3 linked regions of the Lonchura striata genome follow. The protein of the gene in region 2 interacts with the protein of the main gene of each other region in a biochemical or structural test. Links are inferred from orthologs where the notes say so. Each region holds a gene or a part of one and is shown on either strand. Other genes may lie near its edges. The genes, in order: COPG1, TMED10 and COPZ1.

Evidence for each region.
Region 1: the proteins of TMED10 (region 2) and COPG1 form a complex in vitro, tested with the Homo sapiens proteins (2 studies listed by BioGRID). The link is inferred for Lonchura striata from reciprocal best matches to the Homo sapiens genes TMED10 and COPG1.
Region 3: the proteins of TMED10 (region 2) and COPZ1 form a complex in vitro, tested with the Homo sapiens proteins (2 studies listed by BioGRID, with this or other methods). The link is inferred for Lonchura striata from reciprocal best matches to the Homo sapiens genes TMED10 and COPZ1.

Annotation. Positions count from the first base shown.
Region 1 is NC_134614.1:12,750,208-12,757,933, forward strand, and holds the start of COPG1 (coatomer subunit gamma-1), read left to right. Parts: upstream 1-4,640; 5' UTR 4,641-4,792; coding exon 4,793-4,829; intron 4,830-7,180; coding exon 7,181-7,233; intron 7,234-7,726. UniProt on the Homo sapiens protein: The coatomer is a cytosolic protein complex that binds to dilysine motifs and reversibly associates with Golgi non-clathrin-coated vesicles, which further mediate biosynthetic protein transport from the ER, via the Golgi up to the trans Golgi network.
Region 2 is NC_134608.1:23,131,124-23,138,144, reverse strand, and holds the start of TMED10 (transmembrane emp24 domain-containing protein 10), read right to left. Parts: upstream 3,085-7,021; 5' UTR 3,071-3,084; coding exon 2,843-3,070; intron 1-2,842. UniProt on the Homo sapiens protein: Cargo receptor involved in protein vesicular trafficking and quality control in the endoplasmic reticulum (ER) and Golgi.
Region 3 is NC_134629.1:8,455,106-8,462,865, reverse strand, and holds the start of COPZ1 (coatomer subunit zeta-1), read right to left. Parts: upstream 3,037-7,760; 5' UTR 3,004-3,036; coding exon 2,986-3,003; intron 2,105-2,985; coding exon 1,991-2,104; intron 1,702-1,990; coding exon 1,620-1,701; intron 1,399-1,619; coding exon 1,307-1,398; intron 1,069-1,306; coding exon 1,013-1,068; intron 790-1,012; coding exon 712-789; intron 1-711. Other genes in the region: HNRNPA1 (heterogeneous nuclear ribonucleoprotein A1), read right to left, coding at 7,259-7,314. UniProt on the Homo sapiens protein: The coatomer is a cytosolic protein complex that binds to dilysine motifs and reversibly associates with Golgi non-clathrin-coated vesicles, which further mediate biosynthetic protein transport from the ER, via the Golgi up to the trans Golgi network.

The sequences.
Region 1 (7,726 bases), on a different chromosome or scaffold from region 2:
CCAGGCCCTGACGTGTCAGCACGTGGGTCTGTGGTGCTGCATGATGTACTGTGTGAATCAGTGCTGCCAGCTAATTTTGGCTTCTGGGTGTGAGTTCCTGGCTGTCCCTGGGAGGAAGAACAAAGCTGGCATTATTTCTGTTCCCTACTGTCCTGGGGAGGGTGGCACAGGATGGGTCACCCATCAGTTCAGACCACGAGGGTGGGCAATCCAGTGGTCTGAACCCTGGGCACCCTGACTCCTGGTCCTGGCCAGCTCATGGGGCTGAGCACCCACAATTCACCTCATGCAGTGCCCACCCAGCCCAAGAGCCTTGGGATGCTCCCACACTCCCTAAGGGGAACTGTGGAGCCAAGCCCTTGTATATGGGGCTCACCCCACAGCAATGCCTACAGGCTGCTACCCACCTTGGCAGCTGGCAGAGGGGCCTGGGCCAGGCTGGGCTGGTGCAGGTGCCTGGAAATCAGTGGTGTCCCAGTTGGAATGCATAAAAGTGAGCTGCAAGTCACTGCCTTCCTGCAAACCAGTGGCAAAAGCAGTGCTTGGGTTTGGCACAGCAGGGAGGTGACATGTCTCTAGGTATGTCCTCCACGTGGCCAGGGAGTCTGTCAGGACACAGTGCCAGACTGGTACCAGGAGCTGTCCAGGGGCCTTGTGAGTCACAATGCCCCGAGGTCTGCCCATAATCCTGGCAATATGCATGTTCTCTCCCTCCCTTAAGTGATTACCAAGCCTGACAGGAGCAGGGAGGCCTAATTAGATGAAGAAAAAACATCTTGCAAGTCAAACATGAAACAACTGAGATGTCCCAGGTTCCTGGAATCCCCTCGAAATGCAGCTGGTGGAGCTGCAAGGGGGCACACACCCACCCACATCCTGGGATGATTTCATCTGCCATTAGGCAAAATGTATTAAAAACATTTCCACACACCACCCCCCCGCCACCTTCCCCCTGTCACTGTCACCCCCTCTGCGGGTCAGAGGTGGAGCTGGGACAGGATAAGAGCCAGGGCTTGGCAGGGAGCAGAGTAAATGCCCAGATTGTGGTCCCTGCACCCTGGGAGCACTGCCTGAACATCGAGGAGACGAGGACCTGCTGCAAATGGTGAGGCTGTGCCCTCAGCGGTGCTTTTCAGGGGCTTTTAGCTGGGCAAGAGGTTGCAGGGGGTTAGATGCTTTTCATTCCTAATTTTGCAGCGAGTTAACCACCCCTGGCTGCCTATTCTGGTACTCTGCAAAGGGCTTCACCCCAGAGATACTCTGCTGGGTGACTGATTTTGGAGAGAGGCAGCTATATAGCAGGATTTGTGCACCTGCTCTGACCCCCACCCCACATCCCAGCACCCTGACCCCCACCCTGTAGCACAGCATCCTGCAATCCCTGGGGCTTCCCTGTGACCAGGGTGAGGGAGGGGGTGGACAAAGTTGCTGAGGCTTGACACAGCTCAGGGCCTGTGGCCACTCTCCTTTCCCTGTCACCTCAACGTGACTAATATGCTGTGTATTTTAGTCCAAGTGGCTCGTGTCCCTCCTTGGTGGGTGGCTTTTGCCCCAAAGAGCCCAGCAACACAGTGGGGAATGGCATCTGCCAGGGAACGCATGGGAGGAAGAATGCTCCACTGCCTGCCCAGCCCTGAAACCCCAGCCCTGAAACCCTGGCCAAAGGGCAGGAATGGGTTGGGGAGCAGCCACAGTACCCTGGCAGGCACCCTCCTGAGCAGGATTGTCTCCTTCCCTGGGGGACAAAGGCATGAAGGGTGTGAAATGGAGGGCATGGCTAGCATCTGGCCAGGGGCTGTGTGAAAGGACAAGGACACCCAGGTGATTTGCTTCCCATTTCCCCTTCAGCCTCCCCAAGGTGGAATAATGAAGGGCTCCTGAAAGGAGGGTGAAGCCCCATCAGCTGGTGAGGGAGTGGGGGGGCTCTGTGGGTGACACCCTGGTGGGGATGTGTCCTGCCTGGGGGGCTGTGGGGCCATGGCAGGGTGATGGGGGTGATGCCAAGCCATGTGCTCCCCGCAGGCTCCCCTGGCCACACTGCGAGGCAGGATGCTGCTCTCCTTCCTGCTGCTCCTGGGGACACCAACAAGGGCCTGGAAGGGACCGAGCCGTGAGTGGCTCCCACCAGCCCCCCAGGCTGTGGATGGAGGGAAGCTGATGAGGCAGGACAGCACCAGCCCTAGCAAGATGCTGCCAGATCCCTCCAAAGTGAGGAGCGGTGACGATGGCTCTGGAGCAGAGTCTCATCCAGCTGAAGCCAGCCTGCCACTGCTAGAGGGACCAGAAAGACAAGCAGTGCCCTGGCTGATGAGCCCAGCCACCAAGAGAGCGGCTCCCAGGAAAAAGGGGAGGAAGTTGTCCTTGTCATTCGATGTCCACACTCACTTACTGAAAATCCTGCTCGACCTGGCCAGAGAGAAGGAACTGCAGGCCAAGGCGGCTGCCAATGCCGAGCTGATGGCCCGCCTGGGGCGCAGGAGATAAGCTGTCCTGGCTGGCATCTAGCAGGGCTGGAGAGGGCAGCGGGGCTGCCAGGGCACTGGTAGAGGGAGGCATGGAGCAGCACTGGTGTGTGTGCAGGGCACTGGACATGGCACCTCATCCCCCTGGTCCCAGTGCTCATGGCACAAGCAGCAGCCGTGGGAGGATTTGATTTAATAACTCTCACCTCAGCACCATTGGAGAAGACACAGCTGGGTTTACCTTGGCCAGTGCTTGAGCACAGCTGGTCCCAGCCCCCGGCACTACAGGGATTTCTAAGCTTGGCTTTGCTCCCTGCTCATCCACCACCTAGATGTCTCCAAAGGGGCTGCATCCAGCCATGCAGTTTTTCCTGGGTGCTTCTTCTCTCTGGGTGACTGAAGCACACAAAATCCTCCACAAAGCTTGGCCAAGCCTCAAAGCTGGAATTTTGAGTGAGCGTGCACAATAAAATGTGGCATCAAACACAACTCATGCTTTATACCTGTTCTGCACCCCTTTACACACCCATTTTGTGTTCCCTTTCCCCAGAGATACTGTGAGAGCACATGCTCAGCTAGGGCCAGCATGGGGGGTCATTAAATTCCACACGAGGGGTGTCAGACCTTGCACCAACAGTGGAGCTGGCCCAGGGAGCCCACAGCAGCTCTGGGCCAACAAGGAAACTGTCTTGTGCCACTGGAGCTGCTGCTTTCAGCACAGCTGGGAGATAAGAGCAGTGCAGTGCAGAGTGCGGCCGCCCTGTGCAAAGTACAGGGTGGTGCAAGCAAGGCTGAGGCCGGGAGACACCTGCAGGGGGGCCACTGGAGCTGGTGGGGGACACGGCCATGCTCTTCGAAGACTACCTGCTGCAGGGTGAGTGAGCCCTTGCACTGTGGATTGGGCACTGGCTTTGGGAAAGGGGCAGAAGCAGCTGGGGTGACCCCACATCCCATGGAAGGGACAGATTTCAGGAAGGGATGTGCCAGCAGATGGTGGGTTGGGGTGAGGTGGCAAGGTGGATAAAAGGTTTTTTGCTATCCCTGCCTGACCTGAGGCTCAGATGATGCCTGGCCCCTTGAGATACCCCCCTGCACCCCCTGGGTGTGTGCTGTGGGGCTGAGCCCGAGTTTGTGGGCCAGGGTAGAGACAGGGTGCTGGTAGCAGTGGGGGACAGAGGTTATAGGAAGACCTGCCAGAGCTGGTGCACCCAAGTGAGACACTCCAGGGCAGGCAGCCTGAGTGACAACTGTCCATCCTGCAGAAGGGAGTTCTTCCCTGCCACTTCCAATTGTTCTTGCGATGCTGAGCCTGTGAGGATCTCCTTTCCATGTCCTGCCACAGTGTCTCATCTGTCCTCCCCGAGACCCAGTGTGCCCCTACGCTTCAGCCCACTCTGTCCCTAGTGCCCCCTCACCTCCGCAGTGCCCTTCCCCTGCCCAGCTCAGGGGTCCCAGTGCCAGCCCCCATCACCAGTGTTTCGCTGGTACCAGTGCCTCCTGCCCCGGGCCGTGTGCTTTCCACAGCCCAGCTGCTACGAGCAGTGTCCCGGTGTCCCCAGGGCTGCCCCAGCACAGCACCGAGCAGTATCCCGGTGTCCCCGCAATCCCGGTGTCTCCCGCAGTCCCGGGATCCCCGCTGTCCCGGTGTCCCCGCAGTCCGATGTCCCCCGCAGTCCCGGTGCCTCCGCTGTCCCGGTGTCCTCGCAGTCCCGGTATCCCCGCTGTCCCGCTGTCCCCCGCAGTCCCGGTATCCCCGCTGTCCCCGCAGTCCCGGTGCCCCCGCTGTCCCGGTATCCCCGCTGTCCCGCTGTCCCCCGCAGTCCCGGTGCCCCCGCTGTCCCGGTATCCCCGCTGTCCCCCGCTGTCCCCCGCAGCCCCGGTGCCCCCGCTGTCCCCGCAGCCCCGGTGTCCCGCTGTCCCCCGCAGCCCCGGTGTCGCCGCTGTCCCCCGCAGCCCCGGTGTCCCCAGGGCCGCCCCTGCCCGCTCCCCTCAGCGCCGACCCCCACCCCAGCCCCGCCAATCAGACCGCGCTATTGCCGGTTGGCCCCGCCCCCTCCATGTCAGTCACGGCTCCGCGCCACGCCCCGCAGCCGCCCGGGAGGCGGCCCCGCGCCTGCGCAGTGCGGCGGCCGCAGCGGCAGTGACAGGCTGGCAGGAAGGGGCGGGGGCAGAGCGGGCGGGGCAGGAAGGGGCGGGGGCGGTGCCGGGACCGGGAGTGGGACCGGGACCGGAATCGGGATCATCGGGATCAGCATCGAGATCGGGATCTAGGCTGGGACTGCCGCTGCCACGGACGGGAGGGCTGCAGCGACAGGCCGCTCGGTAGCACCATGCTGAAGAAGTTCGACAAGAAGGACGAGGAGTCGGGTGAGGGGAGGCCGGGGGCGCTGTGAGGGGAGAGACCCTCTGTGGGTGCGGAGGGGATTGGCGAGGGGGACCCCTTCGTGGCACGGGGAGAGCCGAGAGGGAAGAGACCCCTGCTGTGGCCGTGAGGGGAGCAGTGAGGGACAGAGGGAGCTGGGAGGGGGGGCTCGGTGCCAGCCTGGCAGCGGGGGCTTGCTGGTGCGCATGGAGCGCCGTGGGAGCGCCGTGGGAGCGCCGGAGCAGTCTGCTGCCTCCTCCTCGCAGCTGCAGCCGGAGGCTAAACTGTTTGCATCGGCACAGCACAGCGAGGTTACTGCCACATCACCAGGTGCAGAGCCTGAGACTAAATATTGAGCACATTAGCCCTGTTCACAGTTGCCCAGCTCTGGAACCAGGTGCTATAGCCAGGTAGAATCCATCGTTTCTGGCCCCACAATCACTGCTACTTTCAATGGATCAGAAAACCTGAGAGCACCAAGGAAACATGAAGTGGTTGCCTGACTTTTCAAAACTTTAGGCCGATTAGTAAGGAAGAGGTTGATATTTTATGTGGTGTGTAATTCAGGTGTAAACGATGCATCATAAGACAGTGTTTCCTTTCGTGGTTTAGCTTTGTGGTATCTTTTTCATGTTCCTGTGAAGCTTTCTACACATCTTGCTCTGCTTAACAAATCAGTGTGTCCTGAAGCAAATTGATTCAGCTTACGTCTTGGTGATTGTTCTGTGTTACTCTGCTTTCTTTTTATCTTAATGGGCATGAAATGCTTTGCCCTTGTTTCCCTTTTCCAAGGCCTCCAGTGGCATCTTGATAAGCAGAGAATTTAGTGAGGCAGCTGTTGGAGGGGAATTACTCTTAGCTTTAATTTTGGGGGCTGTTCTTCATTTGCAGCTGCCACACCCATCAAGGTATTGACATTACTTATGGCTAGGGCTGTCAGGAGATGCATGTATCCAGTTAGTTTGCTTCTGTGTCTTTGCTTTCCATGTATGGTTTTGCTAGCCTTGGATGACCTGCTCCCACTCCCTGTGACATGTAATTTTGACCACAAAATTAAGTTTCTCAACAAATCAAAATAACTTGCTGTTAGTTATCCAATATTAGGAACTTTATGAACATACAACCTCTGCTCTCCCTGCATCTTTCTCCGTCTCCATGGAAGAAAACTGATGCAGGGTGCTGTGAGGACTGAGACCCCATGTACGATGTACTTCAAGATCCTTAGTGCTATGAAGGAAAAAGAAGTGATGCAGCATTGTTCATGGCTGATTTAAGGATTGTAGACATGCTGGACCATGGAAATACTGGGCTGCTGGGCAGGTTTTTTGGAACACATTAGCATATTTATCCTAGAACTGGTTCATACTCATACTAGAGACCTTTTTGCTCTTTCCCCTTGTTTTTTTCTACCTATTCAACCTCACATACATGTGTGTGTTTTCTTCAGCCACCTGCTGCCTTTGCAAACTTCTTCTGAGCCAGAGGGAGGGCATTTTATGAACCAGGAAGGAGCCAGAGTGCAGATGTGTTTGCTTTTCTATGTAAGGCTTACTCTGGGAAGGGCTCCTGGCACCAGCCTAGGATGCTTCAAGCTTGGGTCAGGTCAGATTTTGGCCCAGGAGATGTTGTCTCTAGTGGACCAGGCTTTGGCACAAACACTAGAACAGCCCTGAAAAAGGCTGCATTCTGTCCCAGGCAGGCTGAACATAGGTTCTAATTAAAACCTGCCTATCAATAACTAGCAGCTTTTGAAAAGCTGCAGGTCACTCAATGCTTGGGAGGCAATCTAATAGAGACCATGCAGAATGATTGTGCTTTTCCCTCTGATTATTTAATCCTTAATTGCTGGCAGTTCTAATTATTTAGTATAATTTACTTTGTTGAGCAATGAAAGTTACTTTGTGTCCAGCCTATCTAGTCTGCTGTCTTGTTCTCTTAATTAGTGATAGAGCCAAAAATACTGGTGGATTTTTGATTGGTTTATAGGGGATGATAAACTACTCCTGACTCACCAGTCTGGCAAGCAATACCTCTTTCTGTCTAAGCTTTTGTTTCTAGGCCTGTCCTATTGATGCTCTAACTGCCAGCAAGCTCCCAGCCCAGGGGTGGAAATAGTTCTTTGGGGATACAGTGGAGCACAGTTATTTTACAGCTAATCAGTCTATGTCTGTCGTCCCTGACTGCCATGAAGACATCCAATTAATATTACTTCAAAGAGGGTGCTCTCATTGCTTGGTGTTCATGAAAAAAAATCACCCCAAAATGCTCAGACTGTTTTTAAAGTATGGGCATGGTTAAAAAGTTGCTTTCCCATGGCACTATCCTTGGAGAAACTTTTACTCTCTCTGTTTTGCAGGTGGGAATTCCAACCCATTCCAGCACCTGGAGAAGAGTGCAGTCTTGCAAGAGGTAAATCTTCAGACCATCTTCTCTGTGTACCCCACTGGACAGAGTCTCTCCCTCTCTTGAGTAGGTCACTGGAGAACTTTTGCAAGGAAATGAGGGTTTCTTACAGTCCTGTTTGCTCTGAAAGAAACGGGCAACAGTTCTTACTTTGTTATTGGACAGATAAAGGGAGGAGGTTGAAATGGTCTCTGTAACAAATTAAAGACTCTGAACTCTAAATGCTAATAAAAGGGAAAAAATTATCTGGGAAAGCTCACCCCAAACCAGGAAGATTGGGAAATTGGCCTTGGATACCCCAAATTTCTTGTGGACAACAATATTAGTGAGAGGGGTGTGAGTGGTTATTAAACAGTTTTATGAATTTTCTCTGAAGAAATGCTGTTCTTTTCAAGAGCAGATGAACATCTCAATCCCCAGCCCCTGTTGGTTCAGCATTCTCTTTTTGCTTGTGAGGCTGGGAACGGTGTTGGTTCCTGTAGCCCCAGTGAGCTCAAGT
Region 2 (7,021 bases):
CAGAAACACTCTTTATTCTTATTAGAGCATCTAATTAACTCTCTGGCATTGGATTTAAAACGTGTGGACCTACTCATGGGTGAGAGTTGCTGCATTAGGCAGGAAAAACGATCAACTATATAAACTCTCACACTTTATGGTATAAACCATAGCAGGCAAGGCTTTAGGAACAAGCTTCCTCTATAAATACATTATCCCACAATGGCCTGTTAGGGGATTTGCTGTAGCTGCCCTTGCATCATATGCTGTCAAGTGTCTGAGAACAATGAGGAACACTCTTCCCCACGCAGCAGCTCAGAGCTGTACCTGTTTTCAAGTGGCAAGCAGATGAAAGCACACCTGCACAGTCAGGTGCAGGCAGCTGTGCTGCCATTCCCTTGTCACAAGCCACCAGGCACTGGGAAGCACTGGGCCCAAGTGAGCAGGCCCATCTGCAGTAGAGGATTGTGTATGTTTGACCATGCCAACACAATGTAAAAGCCTGTGATTTGGCCACAACATGGCATGTGCTGTTTTAGAGGAGGGGTCATGATTAACCAAGATGCCTCATCAGCATGACATACATTCTGCACACCAGGCTCTCCATCACAAAAAGTAGTCAGAACAACATAGCTCTCAGATACCCCTAGTATTTTCCTATGCCTTTGTAGGCACCAGAGCTAATCTTTATGCAGCTTGATCCATTTTTGCCCTTTGCAGCTCACAAACGGCATTCTGGACAGTAAAAGCTTTGCTATCCACTTTCATCAAAACTGAATAGCATTACCCAAATCAGCCAAATACACTGCCCATTCAGCCGGGTGTGCGGGGGCGGGACAGGCTGCTAATAGCCCAGCCAGAACGCTTGTGGGGGAGTCGACCTGAAAGGAATTTTTCATGCTATTCTAACGTTATTTACGGTAAGGCAATCCCCTACAGACAGGGCATTGTTTGCCCTTGACAAACAGCCCGATACCGTCGGGCTCGACAATGGGGCAGAGGCACGTGGCTGCCAAACGGAGCTCAGGCGCCCCCTCGCAGCAGCCAGCTGGCCGAGCCCGCGGATTCCTGCAGAACAGAGGGTGCCACTGTTAGCGCCGGGCTGTCACACACAGCTCAGCTCACCGGCAGCAGCCCAACTGAGCCTGGACAGAACTGACTACCAACCTCCTCCCTCTTCTGTTCGCTGGCCCAATCCAGGGGGCCAAAGCAGACCATCCAGTGCAGAACAGAGTACCTGCAGACATCATGTCCTGAACTGACCTTTCCTACACAGACCACAGAGAAAGCAGGCACCTGTCAGAGGTTTCAGCACTTATAACAAGCCCAGCACATTGGGAGGACACAGCATACCTGAACAATAAGAAGGAAAGCAAGAATTTGCATACATTACTTTTTCACCTTTGTAGCTTTTCAAACTACACATGACTTTTAAAAATTAATTCATTTTATGGCGTGAACAAAAAAGAACTTCTGTAAGCAGTACCACCCAATACCAGCTTCATAAGCAAAGCCAACCGAGACTTAAACATGGGAATCACAGGTTCACCATCATCTCCCTAAATAAGTTCTGTGTCATAAAAGTGAGTTTTGAAAGAGACCCTGGGGCCAACTGACCTAAGAGTGGGCAACCTGAGAACCAGGAGGCTTGGTTACCAAGCAGTAAGAGACATGGGAACATAGCACTCCATCTGAAATACATGTGCCTTACCAGGCAAATACTACATCCACATTTTAAAGCCTTATTGCTGCTTGGCTCTACGTATACGCAGACAAGTTTCCTCTAACAAATGAAGCAAGAACAGAACCACATGATTTTTAAACAGTATGACTCCAGAAGAAGCCTTCCTTAGCCATAACCAGCTACAACTGTCAAGAGTGCCAGGGCCTTCAGGCATTGGTAGGCAGATGCTGGAAAAGCAATCTGATTTCAGGATGCCTAAAATATTCAAGAACACCAAGTTCAGAAGCTCCTGAGCAGACCATTCTATCTCTGTTTGCGTGCTTAGTATTGAAACCTTTGGGAATGTAGACAGAAATAAAAAAGTTGCCAGAAGGCTTGTTATGAACTGACTATGTAGCAACAGACCTTATTCAGCTAGGATGGAATTTTGAAGAAAGCCTAGGAAATGCAGATTGTGGGCAGAATTTAAGTGAAGCTGTTGAAGTTTTACAACTGTGTGTCACACAGGTGTATTAGTCATGAGTATTCTGCAAATCCTGTACTTCCTGAAGATTCTTCAGGATCATTTTCTTCCCTGCAGCAAATATCTGCCTACCTAAAACCCATGCAAGCCACGACACAGCAAGATGAGAATAGCCAATTTGGGTACCAGAACCTGGTACAGCAAAATTTTCTCAGCCCCCATTCCACTGTGCCAGGATCCGGTTGTGCCAGGCCCTAAGCATGGAGGGAGCCCTCGGAAAGCCACGTCACCATAACTCTTTCCTGCTCACACGGTGTCAGCAGCATTGGTACAGCTTTATCGGGGCGGCCCATCTCGCCAGGCGCCGGATAATCCGCATCGTGTGCGGATTAAATGGCAGACTGCGGGACGGGCGGCTGCAACTCGATCTTTGGGGAGAAAAAGCTCCTATGTGGCTCAAGCTGAAGCTGGGCTCCCTGGCTGCCCAGCACCCGGAGCTCCTGGGCGGGCTGGTGGCCGCTCGCACAGGGCGAGTCCCGCGGCGCGGCGCAGGCCGGGCCCGGCGGCTGTCGGCTCACGCGTGGGCCGGTGCCACGCGTGGAACACGTCACCCCTGCCTTCCTTCCTTCCTCTCCCGCCCCGCACAGCCGGCGAGGGGAGGCGGGGCCGCGCCGCCCGCCCCGGCCACCCCCGCCCCCGGCCGGCCGGGGCCGCACCTTGAGGTTGGCGGAGGGTCCGGCGGAGGAGCCCGGCGGGGCGCTGATCTCGTACTCGCCCGTGACCAGCGTGTCGCGGTGGATCTCCTCCCGCAGGCACTTCCGCGCCTTGCCCGGCAGCTGGAAGGAGATGGGCCGCGCCGGGCCCACCAGCAGGAGCAGCAGGAGCAGCGGCGGGAGCGGGGCCCGCCCGAGGCGGGGGCGGCCGGGCAGCGGCGGCAGCGGCATGGCGGCGGCTGCGAGCGCGGCGGGCCGGGCCGGGCCTGCCTCCGCCGCACGTGACCGCCGCCGCCGTGCGTCACGGGGCGGGGCGGGCGGGGCGGGGCACCGGGCCCCGACCCCTCCGCGGGGTGTTTCCTTAGGAAACGCAGGACTTATGAAGGTTGTCCAGCAATGGCTGACGGCAGCGAGTAATGGTGGCTTCGCTCGTTAAAGAATTGGAAAATTAGAGCAAAACCGAGCCGTGCTCCGAGGCACGGCAGCACTCTGAATGTCCGTGAGACTGCCTCGCGGCTGGGGATCTTCACTGGGAGAGACACTTGCTGTTTATTGTATGGGGTTTTTCAGTTTTGAGGAGTGACTTCTCTCTTCTTCACACAAGAAAATTCAGTTTTATCAGATGTCTTGCTTCTTTGCATCAATGCCTTGCATTTAATAGGAGTACCCAAGTGTTTTTAACAGCAAATAAAATTATAATGATTTTTGAAGACATTACTTTTTTCTCTCTTCCAGCATATACTCAGATCTACTTTTTCTTCTCTTTTTTTTTTTTCTTTTTTTTTTTTTTCTCTCTTGATATATTTTATTCTTCAGGAAGATTGCATTGGGTAACCACTGATGAGCTTTGGGCTGCTGCTTCCCCTGGCACCGCATCACCTCCATCCCCAGCCTCCTGGCCTGGCAGTGGAGCTGCCGGGAAGGGCACACACGGCTGGGAGCAGTGACCTGTTCTGCGGCATAACCTGCGAGCAGGGAGGAGGAAAATTGCACAGGTGTGTGGCTATGGTCACCATGGTTGCAGTCAGCTCCTGGGATCAGCTGCAAACATTTGGGTGTGCTAAGATGTAAGGAAAAGCAGGAAGAAAGAAATGGATAGTAACATTGCTAGAGAGCAAAATATCTTTTTTATTTCTGTTAGCTTGAGTAAAATAAATTACACCATTGTTCCACTTTTATTCCTTTAAACATCACCAGCTGTGTTCTCTGGTCAAAGCATGTCTTTAATGGCAAGCAATAACAAGGAGTTGGTACAAACTACAAGAGGCTTTAAGTGGCAAATTTCATGCTTGGATGTTCACCTGTGGAGCATTTTAAAGAACAATTCAGTGCTTTTGCCCGCTTGTGCTCATACCTACTGAGAAAATATGATGAAGCTCTCCTTCAGGAACAGACACTAAGCCCAAATGTGCAGGGATAAAGTGACCTCATACTTGGAGGGAAATAAAAAACTTTTACCAAAAAAATCACAAAAAACCCCCAAAACAACAAAAACCTCCCAGCACCAAACATTTGCCCTTACTTTAAGCTCCAGTTTATTGTTTGAAGTGGGATTTACAGTCACTTGATGGAATTTCAATACATTTTTAACTCTCTTATTAGTTCAAAAACTGTCCCTTACTTGGACAATTAACTTATTTGAAATGTAACCATAATAAATAGTTTGCTCTTTTTGCAATATGTCGAAGTATATTTGCAAATTAAAACATTCTTTCCATTGCAGTGCTTAAGGCAGAAAGAGATATTTCACAAACTTTAAGAAACACTGATTGCTAGAATATGAAGATATGAAATGTTGTACCACAAAATTTCTGATAAAACTGGCACAGCATGACAAATTTCTTCATGCAGAACATTCCTCAAAACAGTAATATGGATCCAGCCTTTTAACATGCTTAAAACTTTAAATATAGCCTTATTTTCCAGAGGAAATGGCTCATTCATGTTAAAGTTAAAGCCTTGTTTTCTAAAATCAAAGTGTGAACTCAACCATCAAAAAGCAAATATACGACTGACTACAATCCCTTTCTACTGTGGCCGTTTTGTCATGGTACATTATTAGATGAGTTACATTTATGACCAACAAATCTATCCCCTGCTTTCTGTTGTAGTCTCCTCCTGTGGACGTATTATTCTAGAAACTGCCACACAGGCAAGTTCAGATCTAATTATAAAACCCCCTCAGATATCCTTTAGTGCTTCAGTGTGTTATGAAATAAAATGGTACAGAGCTGCTATGAGTCTCTTCACAATCCCCGGCTTTTTTTAAAAGCATTTAAACATGCAATGGGGCAATTTCCCTTGAGTGTGCCAAGTAACTTAGAGCAGAGGGAAAGCATTTGAAGATCCTTTCAGCTCCAGGTTAGGAAATAACAGTCTTGCAGGGACATGCCTTAATATTTCCACATAGTGGAGGCTAACAAAATGAAATGCTTCCTGTAATTCAAAAACCCTGAACAGAGGTGAAGGAGAGATTGATAACTTGTTACACAACTTTCCAGATGAAGCGATGACCTATTTTAGCTTAATCTGCTGTGTTAAGCATTGTGGGAGCTCAGCACTCAGCTGGAGGCAGATATTTGTTCTCACTACCACTAACCCATAGACAAATGGGTGTATCCCCAATGTAAGCATTAATATCAGCTGCCAATCACGACACACTGACAAAATTCAAACCATTTTGTTCGTGTGATAAAAGATAGCTTTTATCTTTCCAAATATCCCTAATGCAGTTTTATTGCTGTCTTAAAAATGATGAAGAGAACAATGAATTATTCAGCTTTCAATTCTATTTTAGCAAAAGAGCAATAGAAACTTTTGGATGTCTCAGTAGTCTGAGACAGCAAAGGCCATTGAAGAAAATATGCCTTTTCCCACCAAATTTCTAATTTTTTCCAAACTGACAAAGTTCACAGAGTGTTAGCAGTAGTCAATTCCTGCCGCACCAAAATGTATCTTTTATCTATGCTAAATGGCAGAAAGCAACACTAATTTGCTTTCTCCAGGAAACAATGTGTATGAATGTGTATGAATTACATAATTAGACCTTTTTTTTACAGCTTCTGCGTCAGCTGCTGTGGCATTTTTGCATTTTCTTGTTTTGGACAATAAAAAGTTGAAACAATGTTCCTCTTAAAAACTATTCTAGACTTACTTTTATGTTCTAATACTTTTGCATTGTGCCCTGCACCTGGCAATCCACTACAAGCTACTGAGAAATTGTATAAAAATTACATATTCTTTACAATGCTAATCAGTGCTTTTACTAACCATGCAAAATTATCCATCTACCACTTCTAGAAAGTGCAAGGCCACTCCTTTAAGGGGCTATATTTGAACTCATTGCTGGGACATAACTCCCCCAGTCACCATTGTGATCACAATCTAGATAGAGATGTTATTCAACCAACTAAAAATAAATCAGTGGCTAAACAGCCATAAAACAGCATTGCACTGCTTTGTCTCTCTTGTCCCAGAGATGACATGTACTGTGTGCTGGCCACATAACTAAAATATATAGCATTTGGGTAACAGGCATAGTACAAAACAACTTTAGATATCACTTTGAGGAGACAAACTATTGTTACATTATATTTATGTGTATCTTCTTCCATTTCACCAAGTGACTAAAGTTATTTCTACAAAGTGCTTCAAAATCCTGCACAGATGTTAATTGCTTGAAATCAAGAGTATAGGGCTCAATCCAAATTGAGTTCATTTAGGGAAACAAAACATCCTTCATCAAAGACAGCCCAGATTCAATCACAAACAAACCATTTTGAGGAAGTGAGCATTCATTATTCTCTCATCTCTCCCCAGAGCTTTTCCTGCTCCCAGGCAGGTTTTCAGCTTTTAAGTAGTAGCCTGACAGCTCTCCCATCTTTTTGAGGAAACCTCGCGCTTCACTTCCCAGCAACTTTCACCTACTGTCCCCCTGGAGTTCAGGGGAAGCCCATATCCCTTTCCATTCCCAATGGATGGCTCCAGGCAAAGCCCTGCTTCTCCCACTGCCCCAGTAGCATGAGCTATGTCCAGCAGAGGCCTGCTGGCCTTTCCTGCTCACCAGCAACAGTGCTGGGATTAATTTTTCCAGCAAACACCAATACAGAGTTCACCTAAATACCCCCAACCTCTGCAAGAAGCAGCTGGCTTGTTACCTCCTCTCAAGCCCCTGCCCTGTCC
Region 3 (7,760 bases), on a different chromosome or scaffold from region 2:
GACAGGACAGGGATGGGGATGGGGATGGGGACAGGGACAGGACAGGGACAGGGATGGGACAGGACAGGAATGGGACAGGGACGGGGACACGGATGGGACAGGGACAGGGATGGGACAGGGACAGGGATGGGACAGGGACAGGGATGGGACAGGACAGGAATGGGACAGGGACGGGGACAGGGATGGGACAGGACAGGGATGGGACAGGACAGGGATGGGGATGGGGATGGGGACAGGGACAGGACAGGGACAGGGATGGGACAGGACAGGAATGGGACAGGGACGGGGACACGGATGGGACAGGGACAGGGATGGGACAGGGACAGGGATGGGACAGGACAGGGATGGGACAGGGACGGGGACAGGGATGGGACAGGGACAGGGATGGGACAGGGACAGGGATGGGACAGGACAGGAATGGGACAGGGACGGGGACAGGGATGGGACAGGACAGGGATGGGACAGGACAGGGACAGAGGGGACAGGGACACCTCAGCACTGCGGGGACAGAGCCCGGGGTGGCAGTGCCAGTCCCAGGGTGACAGTGACAGTCCCAGGGAGGTGACAATCCCAGGTAGGTGACAGTCCCCAGGAGGTGACAGTGGCAGTGAACAGTCCCAGCGAGGTGACAGGGGAGGTGACAGTGGCAGGGACAGGGACAGGGAGGTGACAGTGACAGTGGCAGTGGCAGGGACAAGGACAGGGACCCACCCTCCATCCACGATCTCGTCCACGGCCAGGAACAGCCCCTCCATGTTGTCCAGCAGCGCCCGGCGCTCCACGTTCTTCCTGAGACAGGGACAGGGACAGGGGACATTGGGGACATGGGGACAGAGAGATATGGGGACATGGGGACATCACGGATACCCCACAGGGACATCGGGGACACCCCACAGAACTGTCCCCAGGAGTGTCCCCAGGTGTCCCAGGTGTCCCCAGGTGTGTCCCAGGTGTCCCCAGGTGTCCCCAGGTGTGTCCCAGGCGTCCCCAGGTGTCCCCAGTGTGTCCCTACCTCAGCATTTGACTCAGCGAGTCGAACAGGCAGTTCAGCACGGCCGTCAGCATCAGCTGGGGACAGAGGGGACACGGAGGGGACACAGAGGGGACAGAGGGGACAAAGAGGGGACAGCGGGGTCACATGGGGACACAGAGGGGACAGCGGGGTCACAATCCACCTGGGGTCCCCCAGCAGCCCTGGGTGTCCTCGTGCCCCTGCAGAGTCCCCACGGTGTCCCAGCAGTGTCCCCGCTCTGTCCTGCTCTGTCCCCCCATGTCCCCCCCATGTCCCCGTGTCCCCGTGTCCCACCTCGTTCTGGGTGGCACTCCCGATGACGCAGCAGTACAGGTCGATGCTGCTCTTGTACACCACGGTCAGCCCGTCCAGCAGCGCGATCTCACCTGGGGACAGCCACACTGTCACCTGCGTGTCACCTGTGCCACCCCTGTGTCACACAGTGCCACCCCCGTGTCACTCAGTGTCCCCTCAGTGTCCCCGTGTCACTCACTGTCACTGCGGTGGGTCTTGCTGAAGATGTCCTGTGTCCCTGTGACCCCGTGTCACCCCCGTGCCACCCCTGTGTCACTCAGTGTCCCCTCAGTGTCCCCTCGGTGTCACTCACTGTCACTGCGGTGGGTCTTGTTGAAGATGTTCTTCTCGAAGGCGCGCTGCTCCTTCACGCTGGGGTACGTGTCATCGTAGTACTGGGACACAGACACGGGACGTCATGGGGACATGGGGACATCATCGGGGACATGGGGACACAGACATGGGGACATCATCGGGGACATGGGGACACGGACACGGGGACATCATCAGGGACATCGGCCACCCCTTGACACCCGTGCCACCCACCCTGGCCCTTGCCCAGAGCCGCATCCCCCTCAGGGCACTGTGCCCCTGTCCCCAAGGTGTCCCCTGGCTGTCCCCAGTGTCCCCTGAGTGTCCCCAATATCCCCCCTGGGTGTCCCCTGGGTGTCCCAGTGTCCCCACCTTTGCGAAGAGCCGCTCGCCGTCGTTGTCGAGGATGATGATGGCCTTGACCGTGTACAGGGACGGCTCCTGGGGACGGGACAGGACAGGGACAAGGACAGTGCCACCACACCCCTGGGGACAGGGACAGGGACAGTGCCACCCCCGGGACAGGGACAGCGGGCGAGCCTGTGCTGGGGTCACTGTCACCATGTCCTCCCCATCCCTGTCCCCACGGCCTGTGCCCCCCGTCCCTGTCCCTGTGTCCCTGTCCCTGTGTCCCTGTCCCCTGTCTGTCTGTCCCTGTCCCTCTGTCCCTGTCCCTCTGTCCCCTCCCTGTCGCTGTCCCAGCGGGTCCCGCGGTGCCGGGGGTGCCCAGGACCAAGTTCTGTGATGCACTGACTGCCCAGAGCCACAGCCCAGTGTAGGACAGAACCCCGGCCTGAGTGCCCAAATCGTGCCAACCTGTGCCAAACCGTGCCAACCTGTCCCCAAAACTGTCCCCAGAGCCACAGCCCAGTGTAGGACAGAACCCCGGCCCGGGCACCCAAACTCTGCCAAACTGTCCCCAAATTGTCCCCAAACTGTCCCCAGTGTCACTGCCCAGTGTTGGACTGAACCCCCCCAGTTCCCCCCGTGCTTCAGTTTCCCCTCAGTACCCCAGTTCCCCCCGTGCCTCAGTTTCTCCTCAGTACTCCCAGTTCCCCCGTGCCTCAGTTTCCCCTCAGTACTCCCAGTCCCCCCGTGCCTCAGTTTCCCCTCAGTACCCTCAGTTCCCCCCGTGCCTCAGTTTCCCACCAGGCCCCCCAGTCCCCCCCGTGCCTCAGTTTCCCCTCAGTACTCCCAGTCCCCCCCATGCCTCAGTTTCCCCTCAGTACCCTCAGTTCCCCCCGTGCCTCAGTCCCCCCAGTCCCCCCCGTGCCTCAGTTTCCCACCAGGCCCCCCAGTCCCTCCCGTGCCTCAGTTTCTCCTCAGTACTCCCAGTTCGCCCGTGCCTCAGTTTCCCCGTCCCTCACCAGCACCAGCGTCTCCATTTTGCCTCCGCCGCTGCCGACGTGGAGCCGGAAGAGCGCCCGCCGCTGATTGGCTGCTCGCCTGCCAATCACTCTCGTTGGCCCCACCCCGCCGGCCTGATTGGTCCAATTCTTCCTCCACCCCACCAATCGCTGCGCGCTTCCGCGCGGTGGGCGGACCAGTCTTTCCCGCGCTTCCCTAGACAGGCGTTGATTGGACGATCTAGCTGTCAATCACGGCTGCACGGCGCTGCCGGAAGCGGAGGGGGCGGCGCAGTTGCCATAGTGACCGGGGAAGCGCTGACGTCACCGCTTTACCGGGGCTGGGCTGATTGGCTGGCTCGGCGCGCACGTGACCGGAAGTGGGGCCTGTTCTGCTGATGGCGCCCGGAGCGTGTCACGGGGGGGGGGCGGGGACAGGGGGGAGATTTGGGGAGATTAATGGGGGCATTGGGGACATTTGGGGACATCTGGGGACATTTGGGGACATTTGGGGACATTTGGGGCCACTGGGGACATTTGGGGACATCTGGGGATATTAATGGGGCCGTTTGGAGAACAGCGGGGGACATTGGGGGACACTTGGGGACAGCTGAGGACACTTGGGGACATTTGGGGACAGGGGTGGCACCTCTGTATCACCCACCAGGGGCTGGGGACATCTGGGGACTCTGGGGGACAGCGGTGGCACCCCCGTGTCATCCGCCAGGTGTTGTGTCTGGCCCCTCCGTGGCTGCTTCGTCCCCAGCCCTGTCCCTGCAGTGTCCCCAGGGTGTCCCCAGGGTGTCCCCAGGTGTCCCCAGGGTGTCCCTGAGTGTCCCCAGGGTGTCCCAGGGTGTCCCTGAGTGTCCCCAGGGTGTCCCCAAAGTGTCCCCAGAGTGTCGCCAGGCTCACCTCCGAGGGCTCCTTCAAAAGGGGAAGGTGGCAATCAGTGATGGGGGGGGGTGGGACACCCTGGGGACATTCAGGGACACCCAGGGGACACTTTGGGGACACTTTGGGACACCTGGGGACACCCTGGGGACATTCAGGGACACCCTGGGATACCCAGGGACACCCTGGGGATACTCAGGGACACCCTGGGATACCCAGGGACACCCAGGGGACACTTTGGGGACACTTTGGGACACCTGGGGACACCCTGGGGACATTCTAGGACACCCTGGGATACCCAGGGACACCCTGGGGACATCTGCGGACACCCTGGGGACACTCAGGGACACCTGGGGACACTCAGGGACACCCAGGGGACACTTTGGGGACACTTTGGGACACCTGGGGACACGACAGTCAGGTGGGGCGGAGCCAGGCTGTGACTGACAGCTGCGGTGACCAATCAGGAGGAAGCAGCCACCCCCAGCTCTGAAATTAACAATGATGATAAAAACCAATTAAAAAAAAAACCCAAGAGACATTTATTGAGGGGGGGGGGTACAGGACACGGGGGGGTTCCGGCCGCTCCGCTCGGGAACTACGGGGGGACCCGGCCCCGGGGGTCCCGGGGGATTCCCGGAGGTCCCGGGGGGAATCCCGGGGGGATCCCAGGGGTCCCCAGAGGGTCCCAGGGGAATCCCGGGGGGTCCCGGGGGGATCCTGGGAGGTCCCCAGAGGGTCCTGGGGGATCCAGAGGGGTCCCGGGGGGATCCCGGGGGGTCCCCAGAGGGTCCCAGGGGAATCCCGGGGGATCCTGGGGGGTCCCAGGGGGGATCCTGGGGGGTCCCCAGAGGGTCCTGGGGGATCCAGGGGGGTCCCGGGTGGTCCCCAGAGGTTCCCAGGGGGGTCCCGGGGCTCTCCCGGCCCAGCTCCGGCTCCGGCTCCTGGGGCTGCCCCGGCTCCCGCCCAGCTCCGGCTCCTGCGGGACAGAGGGGCAGGGTCAGCACCGGGATCGGGATTTTGGGATTGGGATTTTGGGATTGGGATCGGGGCAGGGTCAGCGCCGGGATCGGGGTTGGGATTTTGGGATTGGGATCGGGGCAGGATCGGGGTCAGGATTGGGTTCGGGATTGGGGCAGGGTCAGCACTGGGATCAGGATTGGGATTTTGGGATTGGGATTTTGGGATTGGGCTCAGGGCAGGATCGGGGTCAGGATTGGGATCAGGATTGGGGCAGGGTTAGCACTGGGATCAGGATTGGGATTTTGGGATTGGGATTTTGGGATTGGGCTCAGGGCAGGATCGGGGTCAGGATTGGGATCAGGATTGGGGCAGGGTTAGCACTGGGATCAGGATTGGGATTTTGGGATTGGGATTTTGGGATTGGGCTCAGGGCAGGATCGGGGTCAGGATTGGGATCAGGATTGGGCAGGGTCAGCACTGGGATCAGGATTGGGATTTTGGGATTGGGATTTTGGGATTGGGATTGGGGCAGGATCGGGGTCAGGATTGGGATCAGGATTGGGCAGGGTCAGCACTGGGATCAGGATTGGGATTTTGGGATTGGGCTCAGGGCAGGATCGGGGTCAGGATTGGGTTCGGGATTGGGGCAGGGTCAGCACTGGGATCAGGATTGGGATTTTGGGATCGGGACTGGGGCAGGATCGGGGTCAGGATTGGGTTCGGGATTGGGGCAGGGTCAGCGCTGGGATCAGGATTGGGGCAGTCAGGATCGGGGCTGGGATCAGCACTGGGATTGGGATCAGGAGCAGCTCCGGTGTTGGGGGCTCCAGGAGGGGCAGAGCCCCAAACCCAGCTCCAGTCCCAGCCCCAATCCTGGCCCAAATCCCTGCCCAGATCCCATTCCCATCCCAGATCCCATTCCCATCCCAGCCCCAAACCCAGCTCCAGTCCAAGCCCCAATCCTGGCCCAAATCCCTGCCCAGATCCCATTCCCATCCCAGATCCCATTCCCATCCCAGATCCCATTCCCATCCCAGCCCCAAACCCAGCGGCAGTCCCAGCCCCAATCCCAGCTCCATTTCCATCCCATTCCCATTCCCATCCCTGCCCCAATCCTGGCCCCATTCCCAACCCCAATCCCTGCCCAGATCCCATTCCCATCCCTGCCCCAATCTTTGCCCCAATCCTGCCAAATTCCCATCCCATTCCCAAATCCCATCCCAGATCCCATTGCCAAATCCCATCCCATTCCCATTCCCATCCCTGCCCCACTCCCATTCCCAGCCCCAATCCCAGCTCCATTTCCATCCCAGATCCCATTCTCATTCCTGCTCCAATCCCATTCTCATTCCTGCTCCAATCCCATTCCCATTCCCAGCCCCATTCCCATTCCCATCCCTGCCCCAATCCTGGCCCCATTCCCAACCCCAATCCCTGCCCAGATCCCATTCCCATCCCTGCCCCAATCCTGCCCCATTCCCATCCCATTCCCAAATCCCATCCCAGATCCCATTCCCATCCCTGCCCCATTCCCATTTCCATCCCAGATCCCATTCCCATCCCTGCCCCACTCCCATTCCCAGCCCCAATCCCAGCTCCATTTCCATCCCAGATCCCATTCTCATTCCTGCTCCAATCCCATTCCCATCCCTGCCCCATTCCCATTTCCATCCCAGATCCCATTCTCATTCCTGCTCCAATCCCATTCCCATCCCATCCCATTCCCATTCCCATCCCTGCCCCGATCCCCATGACCCTGCCCGATCCCAGCCCCAGCCCCGCTGCAATTCCCACCTCCCCTTTCCCTTCATTCCCATCCTTTTTCCACCTTTTCCTGTTATTTCCCCATTTTCCATCACTTTATCTCCCAATTTTAACCATTTCCTCCATCTCTTCCCAGCTTTTTCTCCTTTCCAACCTTTTCTCGCTTCCCTCTTTTCTTTTTTTCCCCCAATCTTCTTTTCCCCCTTTTTTTCCATTTTCCCCAACCCTTCCCTTCATCCCTCCCACTTCATCTTTTCCCAACCTTTTTTTTCCTGTTTTCCCACTTTTCTGCCTGAAATCCCTCCCATCGTTTTATTTTCCTCTCCCTTCTCCCTGACCAATTCATAATTTCTTCTCCCAATTATCTTCCCATTTTTTCCCACATTCTTTCCCATATTTTCCCCATATTTTCTCCCCATTTCCCCATATTTTCCCCATTTTCCCATATTTTCCCCATTTTCCCCCAATTTTTTCCCAAGATTTTCTCATATTTTCCCCACCTTTTCCCCATATTTTTCCCTTATTTCCCCCACCTTTTTTCCCATATTTTTCTCCCCCTTTTCCCAAATTTTCCCCACCTTTTTTCCCTATTTTCTCCCAACTTTCCCCACCTTTTTTCCCTGTTTTTTCCCCCATTTTCCCCTCCTTTCCCCCCGTTTTTCCCCTCACCTGGCCGTTAAAACCTCCTCCCTCCTCCGTAGCTGCCGCCGCCGCTGGAGCTGCCGTAGCCGCCTGTGGAACCAGGAGGGGATTCAGGGACACCCAAAAATCGGGGGGGGACATTTGGGGACCCCCAGTGACCCCAGAGCCCTGCCAGGACATTCTGGGATCGCCCCAGTTTGTTTTGGGGTCCTCCCAGCACATTTTGAGCCCCCCCCAGGTTATTTTAAGGCCGCCCCAATACAAATTAAGCTCCCCCAAGGTGATTTTTGGGGTCCTCAATGTGGTTTTTGAGGTTCCCCAGGATATTTTGGGGCTCCCCGGGTGATTTTTGGGGACTCACCGCTGCCATAGGGCCCCGAGCTGCGCCCCCCGAAGCTGCCCCCGGGACATTTGGGATATTTTGGGGTTCCCAGGGGGGTTTTGGGGGTTCCCCAGGTGATTTTTGGGGTTTTTGGGGACTCACCACCGCCGTAGGGCCCCGAGCTGCGCCCCCCGAAGCTGCCCCCGGGACATTT